Linked DNA regions of Oryctolagus cuniculus. The protein of the gene in region 1 purifies or fractionates together with the protein of each later gene. This does not show direct contact. Links are inferred from orthologs where the notes say so. Each region holds a gene or a part of one and is shown on either strand. Other genes may lie near its edges.

Region 1 (4,577 bases):
GCCTGGTGGGGAGGGGGATAAGCAGGTGAAAGATCTGTAAATAGAAAAGGAAGTGATAAAGGTAATGTCTTCCTACTTCGAAACCCTACCTGGGTTACTTGGGGGAGAGCCTGCCACTGAGTCACCTCAGCAACTGGACTAGATTACCAGCAGAATTATGACGTGAGCACTTCGCAGGCTCCCCTCACCTTCACTGTTACACGCAGGAAGAAAGATCAGAGCTGCTAACAGCTCGGAGGTCAGTACTCTCAACACTCCTCTGCTTCACTCCTGTCTCCACTCACCCAGTTCCCTTTTCAAGTGCCCATGCCCATAAACCTGCTCATCTTGCATGGTTCTGTACCCCCTTCTCAGATGGACGACTCCAAACCCTGGACGATTTAAAAGAAACACAACTGTCTTTTCAGGTAAAACTTAGTCCAAACTCAAGAAATATCACCTGAAAGAGTCACCACCACTATAGCCGGTATAGGCCAACTCCTCTCTACAGGTTCCAGGTTTCACAAGTTCCTCCTGATGTCAAGCTGGAGATCAATCAAAAACAATTAAAGGGCTGTACCACTGGCATTACCGAGAATGAAAAGAATGTGGGTTACTGAGCTTGGTCAAAAAGACACCAGGAAAGAAGACATCAGCAAGTCATAAAACAAGTAATTACATCAGAGTTTGAAAGCTAGCTGTTCTTCATAGACCAAGAAATGGATTGCACCCACATAAAGGAGGCAAAACACTGGAGCCGACTAGGAAGGATGTTTGCAAACCTATTATTACACTTACCTACCTCATAGAGTTGTTCTGGGAATTAGATTAAAAAATGGGTCAAGGGCCCGACTATCGGGAAGTGCCTGGCTCACATCATGGATCAAGTGGTGGTCACCCTTTTACTAAACGTCCTTAAAATGCTGTCTGGGGGCCACCTAGGGAAACGCAGTATGATCAAATAATGCTCAAACTCTTCTCCTCCCAAGAAAACACCTGTAATTACAGCCTCCACGTCATTCTACTGAAACATTTAATTGAATACTTCGCCCACTGCCTTAATCTGCCTACTAAGTGGTGATCTGGGAAAGACCACATTTTGTCCAAAATACTGTAGCGTTTAATTAGTACTCAAATGGCACTTTAAGTTATCCAGTTTTTTTTTTTTTTTTTTTGGTGTGTGTGGGGGGGCGTGGGATGGTGTTCAGATGTAGCCATCTTACTTTCCGAACGCTAGCTGGGACATCAGTTCTTTTAAGTACCGATACAGGGGGAGAACGACTAGGCCAGGCCAAGAAGAGACTGCCTCAGCTGCCTAGGCTAAAGATAACCATACCGAAGGTGGCGGAACAAGGAACTAGCTACCAAGGCAAGTTTCATGCGTTAAGCTGCCGCGGGAAGCAGAGACCTAACTCTCGCAAGAAACTTCATAAGAAAAGCCACCCAGGAAAGCCGACGCGAGGCTGCTACCACAAAGAGAACAAGCTACTGGAGGAGAGCTCCGAACCCACCGGCGACAGCCTCGTACCTGCGTTTCCCGCTCCCCTCCTCGGCGCCTCGTGATGACCTCACCCGCGAGCGCCCAATCCCATCAAGCGTAGGGCGCGAGGCGCCTCAGCCAAACAGTCACATCCGGGGCCGAGAGGAACCGCGAGCGAGCTGGGCGTGCGCCCTTGCTTCGTGCCCTCAACCCGCATGGCGGAGCCACGGGCGCGCCGCGGGGAGGCCAGGCGAATCGGGCGGTTCCGGCGCCCGGGCTGAGCCGCGGGGGAGGGGCGGGGGACGCCCGTGCAGCCGGTGCGTCTGCCCTCAGTGAGGCGGGGCGCGCGGCGGACGCCCCCGGGCAGGGGCGGGAGCGGTGGTGGCGCCGGCGGTTGGCACTGAAAGGGGCGGTGAGCGAGCTGCTCCGGTGTCAAGGCGAGGCTCGGCCTCTCGCGCAGAGACGGGGGGTAGCGGCGGCGGCGGCGGCCTTCGGGCCGGCTGGTGAGGCGATGGCGGCTCCAGCCCCGGGGGCTGGGGCAGCCTCGGGCGGTGCTGGCTGCAGTGGCGGCGGCGGCGGCGGCGCGGGTGCGAGCTCGGGCTCCGGGTCCGCGGGGGCCGGGGGCCGGCTGCCCAGCCGGGTGCTGGAGTTGGTGTTCTCGTACCTGGAGCTGTCCGAGCTGCGGAGCTGCGCCCTGGTGTGCAAGCACTGGTACCGCTGCCTGCACGGCGACGAGAACAGCGAGGTGTGGCGGAGCCTGTGCGCCCGCAGCCTGGCAGAGGAGGCTCTGCGCACGGACATCCTCTGCAACCTGCCCAGCTACAAGGCCAAGGTGAGGGAACCCCGGGCCACGCCGCTGCCCCTGGCGCGCTCCTTGGCGCCGCTCGCGGTGCTTGCCGCGAAGCTTCTGAGTCAGACGGCTCGCCTCGCCATCCCGCCTTTCCACGCTCGCGTCGGTACCTTCCTCACCCTCCCGCCCCCGCAAAGATCGTCTTTTCTCTGGAATGAAGTTCTTCTCTTTAACCCGCCCCACTTCCGCGATGACTTTTTCAAAGGCGGCATGGTTCCCCATCCCTGATTTCCATCACTCCTTCCACTTTGGACTGACTTTGTTCCTACAGACAGACCACCGCTATTGTTGTGCCTTTCCCTACTCACCCTGTTTCCCCTCTGGCCTCCAGATACTTCTATTATACTAAGTCGTCTCGGTTGCTTTAACCTCGCCTTGATTTCTGAGACCTTTCCAAGCTCTGATCCCTCACCATTTTTTCCTGTATTTTTGCCCAAGTTCTCTTTCGTCCCCTCCACTGTTATTTCAGGCTTATGAGTGAGTGTGCCTGCTAACTTTGAAGATACAGGCACAGCCAGAACCTCCTGCGGCACCACTTAACCGGCGTGGTACTGCCTTGTGGCTGCTCTTAATGGCTGTTGGTTGCCAACTTTTTCATAGTCCCACCTTGGTGTGTCGGGGCTGTGTCCATGTGTCGTCTAGTGTGCTGATTCCAGTTTCACTACTGCTTTTTTTTTCTCTTAGATTCTTGGGTATATTCCTGACACCTTCATATACCAAATAAAAATGACAGGTTATGGTAGGAGGAGAAGATGCTTCAGCCCATAAAAATAAAAAGCCTTGGGCTTGCGACTGGGTGACAGTCATTCAGCACAGCAGTGTGTGTGTGTATGCATATGCATGCATATATGTCAGAGGACGCCTGACCTGAAGTGTGGGAGACTGCTGGGGCAGTATCGAAGTAAGAAAGGCTTTTTTATGTGAAGTACAAAATGTATTCTTCTGTGAGATGGCCTTTAGTTAATAAGATAAGGAACTTGGCTGTTAAATATGTAAACTATCAAGCTGTTTTTTTAGCAAATAAAGTAACATTTTACTAGGACAGTATGTGTATACTAGGTGAAATTTATGTAGGAGAGTGCAGAAAATTGCAGTTTTGTCCTATTTGCCTGGTCAATATGAACATTTCTCAGGTTTTATTTAGCTTTTATTTTTCCATAAAGTCTGTTGGTTTGGGTTTTAAATTACAACTTTTTGGCAATTAATTTGTGACATGTTACATATGTTGGCTTAAGTCAAGATTCATATAGTATGTAATGGATAATGTGTCCATGTGAGTTAAGCTTCAATAGAAGCAAAATGAGATATAGCAAAGTGTTTCTTTTGGCCCTTGTCCCCCTGCTACCTAGTTGCCTGCTTGGAAGAAGTCTAAAGCTGTAATTTCTTCTGTATCCTTCCTGCAGGATTGTGGGTTTTCTAAGTCTTTAATGCTTTGCTTTTCTGCAGTGTGCACTGGAGGTGCTGTAGGCTTATACTAATCTCATGTTCACTTAGATGTTGCAGGACTTTCCTTGAATAACTTGAAGATACGAGATTAATTTCAAAAAGAGTCAGGCTAATAGGGAAATCCCCAGGCTAATAGAAGAGAAAAAAATATATAAAAGTAACTGTATTGCATGGTAGAAATTGCTCCATTGTATCAATGATAGAAAAAACATATAGGAAGGGCTGGTGCTGTGGCGCAGTAGGTTAATCCTCTACCTATGGCATCGGTATCCTATATGGGTGCCATTCGTAGTCCCGGCTGCCCCTCTTCTGATCCAGCTCTCTGCTGTGGCCTGGGAAAGCAGAAGATGGCATGGGTGCTTGGGCACCTGCACCTGCGTAGGAGACCTGGAAAAAGCACCTGGCTCCTGGCTTCGATTCAGCCCAGTTCCAGCCGTAGTGGCCATTTGGGGAGTGAACCAATGGAAGGAAGACCTCTCTCTCTGTCTCTCCCTTTCACTGTCTGTAACTCTACCTGTTAAATTAAAAAAAAATCATGCTAGAATAGTTTCGTGACAGGAGAAATTTGCAATTTGGAGGATTGGAGAAGATTTGAGGATGAATTGTATTTGAGCTGAATTTTGAGGATGATCTGAAAGTTGTACAAAGAGAGCAGAAACAGAACAACAGGAAGGCAAAGAGTCTGTACAATATATATTTTTATTTAAAAATATGAGTGCTTGGGCTGGCGCTGTGGCACAGTGGGTTAAAGCCCTGGCCTGCAGTTCCGGCATCCCATATGGGCACCGATTCAAGTCCCGGCTGTTCCACTTCAGATCCAGC
Region 2 (4,066 bases), on another chromosome or scaffold:
GATTAGGGAGTAGAGTTTCAAGGAGGAAGTCTAAGACACTACCACGTGAGAAAGGAGGCCTAAAGGCAATCTTTGGATTTTAAGCCAGCCTACCATGGCTTTCCTAATACAGACACATCTGAGGCTTAATGAGGGAAGCCTAATTCAAGAGTACATTCTCAATATCTTTGTAGCTGCACAGAAAGGCCACCACTTCCCAAGTAACAGAGGACGAAGCCCCAGCTATGATGACACCATTTTCCCTTACCGTTTCTCATGAAGATGCATACAGCGCACAGTGGAAGTGTGCCCATATAAGGTGTGTATACATTCTCCAGTCTCTGCGTTCCATACTTTGAGGGTCCTGTCTGTAGATCCACTAATGATGATGTTGTCTCTCATCTGGGATGACCATACTCCACCTGTATGTCCCACTAATGTCCTCAGGCACTGGAAAAATACTTAAGATGATTACTTTTGGGTAGAAAGGAAAGTGATTTAAATAACAGTGTAATAGCTCATTAAAATTTGCTGTGAAATTACTTCTTCAATTTGGTCCATCAGAAAATACTTTTTGCATCTCAACTTAAGAAGGTGCCATCACTATTCACTGCTTTGTGTATTCAGTAGCATTACGTACTTACACACACATACACACGCACAGATGAAGAACAAATATGTAGACAACGAACATGTTATACAACTTGCGATAGGAGAGAAAGCAAACACATGATGTGAAAGTGAAGTATGATAGCTCCAGCCTGGCCTCTGAGGAAATAACACTAAAACTGCAACTCGGTTTCTTCCACGTATGTAATAGATTTAATGAAAGAATGCCAACAGTGTTGGGTGTGCCTACATACCACATTTCATCTGAATTTGCCCCAAGGCAGTAGTTAGGAGCCAGCCAAGCTACTTCTAGACAAGTAAAGACATACATTAAAACCCTGAAATAAATCCAAAACTAATATTACACCATGGAAATATGAAGCTTCTTTTTCAACATTTAAGCATCTGACTTGGAAGATTTCTAAGACTCTTGCCCAAGAAGTAACATGGTAAAGACATAAGATTTTTATTCTGTCTCTCGTCTATTATTTTTAAGGTGGCAGTTACTTAATTCATGATAACATTCTCCAGTGGAAAAATAAAAATAAATATTCACTGGAGTCACCAGAGTAGAATTTTTTTTTTTTTTGGACAGGCAGAGTGGACAGTGAGAGAGAGAGAGAGAGAGAAAAATCTTCCTTTGCCGTTGGTTCACCCTCCAATGCCGGCGCGCCGCACTGATCCGATGGCAGGAGCCAGGTGCTTCTCCTGGTCTCCCACGGGGTGCAGGCCCAAGCACTTGGGCCATCCTCCACTGCACTCCCTGGCCACAGCAGAGAGCTGGCCAGGAAGAGGGGCAACAGGGACAGAATCCAGCACCCTGACCGGGACTAGAACCCGGGGTGCCGGCGCCGCAAGGCGGAGGATTAGCCTAGTGAGCCACGGCGCCGGCCATCAGCGTAGAATGTTGTATGCGCTCTGGCTCAGTGCTGGAAAGCTTTTATCTTCAAACTAGTATTTGGATACCTACTTTGCTGACCTCCCAGCTCACAGCAGTCAGAGGAAGGTCTGAATTGACACGATTTGCTTAACTGAGGAGCTACAGGTAGCTTATCAATGAAGCAGTTATTAAAGAAAGAAGAAAAAAATAAACAACCCTCAATCAGACTTTTTTGCAAAACATTAAAAGTAATGATGTATAACTTAAGAGTGTTAATCAAGGAGGGAAAAACAGAGCCAAGAAAAAGACCACATCTGCAACACTTCAAAACAGCTGGGTCACAAAGACAGGCTAACAGCTTACAGGGTGACGGTGCCAGCGACCTCCCTGTGGTGAGAAGCACAGCGGTGCCCATGTGACTTTCCTCAGTGTGGGGGGTGGGGGGCTAAGTTAGAACCCCTGATACTTGCTATCAAAATAAGCAAGAATCAAAAAGGAATCGCTGCTTTCCTTTGATTAGTGGATCCTTACAAAAGTCATAATACACAAAACGGTGACTCTGGGACGTGTAGAAAGAAGTGAACTTACTTTGCCGGTGACCGCGGACCACACTTTCAACGTGTTGTCATCAGAACCACTAACTATTCGGTTACCGCAGAACTGTAAGCACGTGATCACGTGATCATCGTGTCCTTTCAGCACCTGCAAGAGAAATGTCCGCATTAAAAATGTGCCGGTAGGTCAAACTCTCAAATACCAGTAGCACGGAAAATAGGAACAATAATCTGTAGTCTACTTCTAGAATTAAAATTTATATGAAGTAAGAAGCATCACCCTTTCTGGCTGATGAATCAAGTATTAAACGTTGTATTATTTCCATATTGCATTATTTATACTTGAAACACTGACCATTAAAATTTAACTTTTATTTATCAAGACCTCCTACAGATGGTTCAAACCCAAATGTATTTTATAATCATCTACTTTGCTTAAACCAAGAGAATATGCATCTAATTTCTGCAATTTTGACACACATCATGTACTAACTACAAAGACGGGAATGAAAATAGCTTTTCAATTCACGGTATATACTATTAGCATGACGGTGTCTCCCCAGATTGTTTCTTCCCAGTGGTAAAAACGTGATAGCTAAGAGTTTCAAGCATTTCTACATTTCATATATTTCCAATGTTGTAAGACAGAAAAACCAGAATTACATTTCTGTTTATAAAAATAAAAACACATATGAATGATCAAAAACCGAAACACAGATTCTCCTTAAAGAAATCAAGTTTGGATTATGAGGTCAAAGGAGGCAGCACATCTTTAGTGGCAAATATATGATGCAATAAAATCCAATGGAATATTCAGAGACTTTCATTTACATAAGACAGACATTCAATTCATCTCATTTTTTATTCAGGTACAGTTGGTTGCCAGACGAGAGATATTAGCAATACAGGAATACTGTCGGTTACACTTTCAGTTATTTTTAAATTCATTGTTTTCTTTCTACAGAAGATAGATGTCAAGAAGCGCAACACGAGAGCACACCAGGCTCTCAGGCTGGTCATGGCTCCTGTTACGGCACGCGAGAGTTCCGTTACCTTAGGAGACTTGAGCTCTCCTCGCCTCCAGTTGGTGTCGATTCTGTGCTGTCTGATGTATGCACTTTTCCATGGACTGTGTATGAAACCTGGTTTTATTACTTTTCTTCTCTTGATGTGCAATGGTTCATCAATTCCTAAAGTGTTAAAGAGTTCAGGAGTATAACTGCCTTCACCAATAATAAACACCACACATTTTCAAATGTATCTCATTTTCCTCAATGCTCAAAACCACTGAAATGCAGGACATTGTCCAATACTGAATACTGTTATTACGGCATGTAAAATTAATATATGGCATATTTTTACATTCAGTATTTCATTTCTTTCTCAAAATGACTGCAGGAAATGTTGATGAGGATATGAAGAAATTGAAGTGCTTGTGTACTCTTGTAACGCAAAGTGGTGAAGCCATGGAAAACAGCAGAGTGGCTCCTCAAAACACTTTAGCACAGAAGTAATGTATGACCTCGCAGTTCCACTTCTGGATATATACCCTAACCTCTCTAGAAATGAGAGACCCCAACAGATATACAGCTGTACATTCATGTTCGTTCACAGCCGTATCATTAATAACTGTCAAAAGGGGGAAATAATCCAGTGTCCACTGGCAGGTGAATGGGTCAACAAAATATGGTTTTTACATACAGCAGGGTATCACACAGCCTTAAAAAAGAAGGAAATTCTGACCCACGTTATGACACAGATGGACCCTGAAGACATGCTAAGTTAAGGAAGCCAGTCACAAAGAGACAATGCTGTATGATTTCACCCACCTGAGATCCCCGGAGCAGTAAAACGTAGGGGGACAAAAAGCACAAGGGTGGCTGCTGGGGGCTCGGGGGAGGAGGGGGAAGAGCTGCCCACAGCAAGTATGGAGGCTCAGCTAGGCAAGAGGAAGAAGCTCTAGAGGTGCATGGCGGTGACCCTGCACAAAACGTGAAGCACCCGGCACCACTTCCAGATGGTTACATGACAGATTTTGTTATGG
Region 3 (4,540 bases), on another chromosome or scaffold:
GAACCAGTGGATGGAAAGTCTCTCTCTCTCTTTGTATGTGTGTGTTTCTCCTCTTTGTAACTCTGCCTTTCAAATAAAAAATAAATAAATCTTTTAAAAATAAAAAATAAAAAGCTCTAAGTGTTAGCCATCTATTATTTAAACAATAGCTAAACAATACTACTGCCAGCACCCTTCCTCTGCAAAGCAAGAATTAATTAACTTCTGCACCCACTGTATTTATTAAACAATAAGCAGGACTTTTTGTCATTTTTAAAGAGAAGACATTCAAAGAACAGGCACAGAGATGAGAACTAGTGCGTAATTGAATAGTTGAAGGATGTAGTACTGGGCTTATAAGACTTAGAAATGACTGTAAATTAGGGTTTGGAGTCAAAAGGATAAAACTTAACAGGAATCAGGGTGCACTGGTGCATTTATTTCCAGAGCATGCAATGAGGTTAGCAGATTAGCTCCGAACAGAGGATTCAGCCCATGTCACTTTTTAGACATAACAAAGGTGCGATCTTTGGTAGATCTGACATAATCAGATGTTATACAATCTTAGTCACAATCATAGTTTCAGGTTATATTTAAGACATCTTTAATAACAGGAGTCTTGGCCGAAAAAGATAAGCTGTTAAGGGACCACCGTCAAGAGAACATAGTGTACCCTTAGTGTGCCTGAGGAGTCAACACAACACACAAGAAAACATTCTTGCATCAAGATTCAGCTGTGATGTCCTGCGCATGAATGACTGATTTGTGAATACTAGCCTACCGACTAATTCTGTTTTTTTTTTTTTCTTTCCTAAAAAGATTTATTTATTTGAAAGAATTACAGAGAAAAAGGAGAAGAGAAAGAGGAGGAGAGACAGAAAGACCTTCCACTCGCTGGTTCACTCCCCATATGGCCGCAATGGCGAGAAGCCAGGAGCTTCTTCCGGGTCTCACCTGGTGCAGAGGCCCAAGCACTTGGGCCGTCCTCTGGTACTTTCCCAGGCGCATTAGCGGGGAGCTGGATCAGAAATGGAGCAGCCAGGACTCGAACCTGCGTCCCTATGGATGGAGTGCAGGCGCTGCAGGCCGTCCCCAATTCTGAATTAACCAGTCCTGCTCACAATAAACCTTGGCGCTGGCAGCACAGAGCTGGGGGGCAGGTGGCAGTGCTGCGCGCTCCGGCGCGGGGCTCCAGGCCTCTCTCTCAGGTTCTAAGTCTCCCACCTGGAGGGAACCCATTACCTGAAACGCCGGTAGCAGGCAGCCTTGCCCAACACTGTCCTCACTCTTCCTTAAGCTGCTAGGAAATCCTGGAGAAGTGGATTTCTTTCACAAACCGCACCACCCAGTCGCCCCACACCCAAAGCCCTGGGGGCGGAGGGAGTGGTGGCTGAGGAGGGTGGGGGGGAGGCCGAGTTACTGAGCATGTGCGAAGCGTGGCGCATGCTCAGTGCGGCCGGCAGCTTCCCACTGCGGGTAGCCCCGGCGGTGGCAGCGGTGGTGGCGGCGGCAGCGGCGGCACCGCCTCCTCCTCACACTCCCCGGGTGGCGGGGTTAGATGAGCGGCCCCAGTAGCGGCGAGGGCGGCGCGGGGGGGAGGAGGAGGAGAAGGAGAAGGAGGAGAAGGTCGCTGTCTTTGTAGTCTCCCCGCTGTGGGAGCCAGAGGCCGCCACCGGAGCCGACGTCGTTGGAAAAGGGCTGTGTGTGTGCGCGCGCGTGTCTGCCCGCCCGGCCCGCGGGGACGAGGCGGCGGCGGCGGCGAAGATGATGATGTGCGCAGCGACTGCTTCCCCCGCCGCCGCCTCCTCGGGGCCCGGAGGGGACGGATTCTTCGCAGCCGCCACCTTCTCTTCCTCCCCGGCACCGGGAGCGCTGTTCATGCCGGTTCCCGATGGCTCCGTGGCTGCCGCGGGGCTGGGGCTGGGGCTGCCCGCCGCGGACACCCGGGGTCAGTACCAGCTGCTGCTGTCAGGTCGCGCCCTGGCCGACCGCTACCGGAGGATTTACACCGCCGCGCTCAGTGACAGGGACCAGGGGGGCAGCAGCTCCGGACACCCGGCCTCCAGGTGAGTCTCCAAGGGTGCCGTCCTTGCGCCGCGCGCCTCGTGTGCGCCTGTATGTGTGTGTGTGTGTGTGTGTTCACGTCTGCGTTTCTCGAGCTTTCATTGATGCGAGGCCCCAGAAACGTTTCCCAGGATCTCGGGAGGGTGCGGTGGCTGCAGTTTCTGCTCTCGAGTGTGTGTCTGCCCATGTGGGGGGTTATTGAGGGCGGCAGTCGCGTGTGATACTGGACACGATGATGGTGCTGGGTCGGTCCTGACACGTGTGTGTATTGTTGAGGAAGGAGGAGGCATGGTCGAGGACACTAGGGTAATACCCGAAGAGAAGTGGTGAAGGAAGTGGCGTTCGCAGTGTCTCTGCCGCAATGTTATTTGCACGCCGCACCCCCCCCCCCCGCATGCCATTGCTCCCTCCCTTTTCTAGCCAGACCTCCGCCCCCCCTTTAAAGATATCTGCCATTCATTAAGGAGGACACTGATATAGATGAAGAAGAACGTCTTTTTTGCAGAATGAATTCGTGATAATCAGGCAGGAGGCTAGGCACGAGGTTTCCTTTTCAAAGATTTATGAATAAGAGATGCAAATGGAGATTTCTGTGGGTGCGAAGGGAGCCTGACGGAGGGTTTTAGATCTGCTCTCTGGGCCTTTGGGTCTTCTGGAAATGTGGTCGCAGCTGCTCCTGTGTTCTGCTGTCCCATCGGCCATTTCTCTTCATCTTCTGTTCTGTTTCCTCTATTACTTGCAGGCTTCAGAGGGCAGGGGATTTTGTAGGGAAACAGGGAGCACCGGAGAACTTCAAAATATGACGGCTGGTGTAGTGTTCAGCTGCCACCGGCTCGAAATTTTGAGAAGCTCCTGGATCTCTTCCATTTGGGCTGGCTGCACCTTCAGTTTCCTTGATGTGGATGTTAAATCACTTTCGTTTTCTTTTTCTCAAAACGTGGGTGCCTTTTTTGCTGAGGGCTCTGCTATTGTTTTCTTCTCCTTGCCTTAACATGCCACAGACCCTGAGGGATGGTGACTGACTTGCTTCACCAGCTTTGATGGTGGTTCTGGGGAGTTGGCTTCAGCCCTTCTCACGGAGCTTCTTGCACTGCGTGAGGAGAGCATAGTAGAATTTTGTCGAATGAGTTGAAGGGTTTACTGTGTTTATTGAATGTGCAGGTTATTAGGCAGTAACCAGGTGTCCTGTTCTTCTGTTATGCAAGGGGCTAGGCTGTAAATCGGATATTCGTAGTCTGTCACTATGTCTTGTGACTTATTCACTGAGGAGAGTTGTAAAGATGGAGGTTTGTTCACACTTTTTCTGGGTAAACCAGTCTTGGCAGTTCTGTGATTGTCTACTGGATTAGGCATGTGAGTGGCTCTGTCATATGGACAGAAACGTATATAAACAACGCCCTTTGCTCTTTAACATGAAGGCCCTGTGGCACAAGTTTGTTTCATGCTAGTGTTTTTGAAAATAGCACAGAGCCACATTATACAGCTTTTTCCTGATAATTGGGTGTGATTTTGAGCTATGAGTCTCTGAATTATGGCTCTGTAGCTGTATTTGTGCAGGCCTCCTCAGGGACTTTAAATTTCTTTTGTGTGTGGTTCCCAGACTTATGCAATAATTTGTGACTACTTATTCCTTTTTTAACTTTCAACTACTATACTTGTATAATAATACGATTTTATATCTGTAGAACTGTATTCACACTTTTAAGCAGAACTAATGTACATTAATCATATACCCAAAACTTATGAATGATTTTAGTCTTTGGTCCATTTTGTACAAACTGTCAATGACAACGTATAAAGAAGTAGTTCAAGTTTTTCCAGAAATACCCAAGGAAACCAGCCTTATGTTGCATGATTTTGCTTGCTGCTGCTTGTTCATAACATTGTTTATTACAGTTCATTTTGTTTTCTAATATTTAGCCTGCAGATCCTCATTTTTGAGGATTTGATTAAGAGTGCAGTCACGTATCTTGTTAAAAATGATGGGGAAAGTACATCTGGGATTTACGATGTGAATGTTTAAGGGTGCTGGTGGACAACATTAGAGAAGTTGAGATCATTCAGACAGAATGGAGCAAGAATAGAGAATGAAACTGGTGAGCATCATGTTTTAAAAATGTGAGAGAAAAGCAACAATGAAGGAAAATGAAACAAGAGGTCAGAAAATTAAGAAGAGAAGAAAGTGAGAAGAGTTTTCAGGTCACTGAGAACTTCTGAGGAAGTGGTCATAGAAGAGGAATGTGATGAAGAGTGAATGGAAAGGGGTTAGGGTCACTTGGGGGGCTTCAGATTTGAAGAAAGAGTATCAAGTATGGGAGGGTAGGTGGGTTACACAAATGTGGGAGTGTAATTACAAACCAAGAGAGTAAAGGAGTGAGGAGGCGGTGTTTGGTAGGGAAAAGTCAAAGGACAGGTGGAGACATTAGCCACTGAGAAAAGTTAGGGGCTGGTTTTCCTTTAATATAAAGAAAATGAGATAAGTGTTTGTAAATATAAA

What was found.
Region 2: the proteins of FBXO45 (region 1) and FBXW7 purify together in Homo sapiens (affinity purification with mass spectrometry; 4 studies listed by BioGRID and IntAct, counting the BioPlex papers as one, with this or other methods). This does not show direct contact. The link is inferred for Oryctolagus cuniculus from reciprocal best matches to the Homo sapiens genes FBXO45 and FBXW7.
Region 3: the proteins of FBXO45 (region 1) and MYCBP2 purify together in Homo sapiens (affinity purification with western blotting; 7 studies listed by BioGRID and IntAct, with this or other methods). This does not show direct contact. The link is inferred for Oryctolagus cuniculus from reciprocal best matches to the Homo sapiens genes FBXO45 and MYCBP2.

Annotation. Positions count from the first base shown.
Region 1 is NC_091435.1:83,074,807-83,079,383, forward strand, and holds the start of FBXO45 (F-box/SPRY domain-containing protein 1), read left to right. Parts: upstream 1-1,675; 5' UTR 1,676-1,970; coding exon 1,971-2,291; intron 2,292-4,577. UniProt on the Homo sapiens protein: Component of E3 ubiquitin ligase complex consisting of FBXO45, MYCBP2 and SKP1. Functions in substrate recognition but also plays an important role in assembly of the complex.
Region 2 is NC_091439.1:12,202,508-12,206,573, reverse strand, and holds part of FBXW7 (F-box/WD repeat-containing protein 7), read right to left. Parts: intron 3,213-4,066; coding exon 3,076-3,212; intron 2,171-3,075; coding exon 2,057-2,170; intron 430-2,056; coding exon 248-429; intron 1-247. UniProt on the Homo sapiens protein: Substrate recognition component of a SCF (SKP1-CUL1-F-box protein) E3 ubiquitin-protein ligase complex which mediates the ubiquitination and subsequent proteasomal degradation of target proteins.
Region 3 is NC_091440.1:35,120,591-35,125,130, forward strand, and holds the start of MYCBP2 (E3 ubiquitin-protein ligase MYCBP2), read left to right. Parts: upstream 1-1,392; 5' UTR 1,393-1,743; coding exon 1,744-2,045; intron 2,046-4,540. UniProt on the Homo sapiens protein: Atypical E3 ubiquitin-protein ligase which specifically mediates ubiquitination of threonine and serine residues on target proteins, instead of ubiquitinating lysine residues.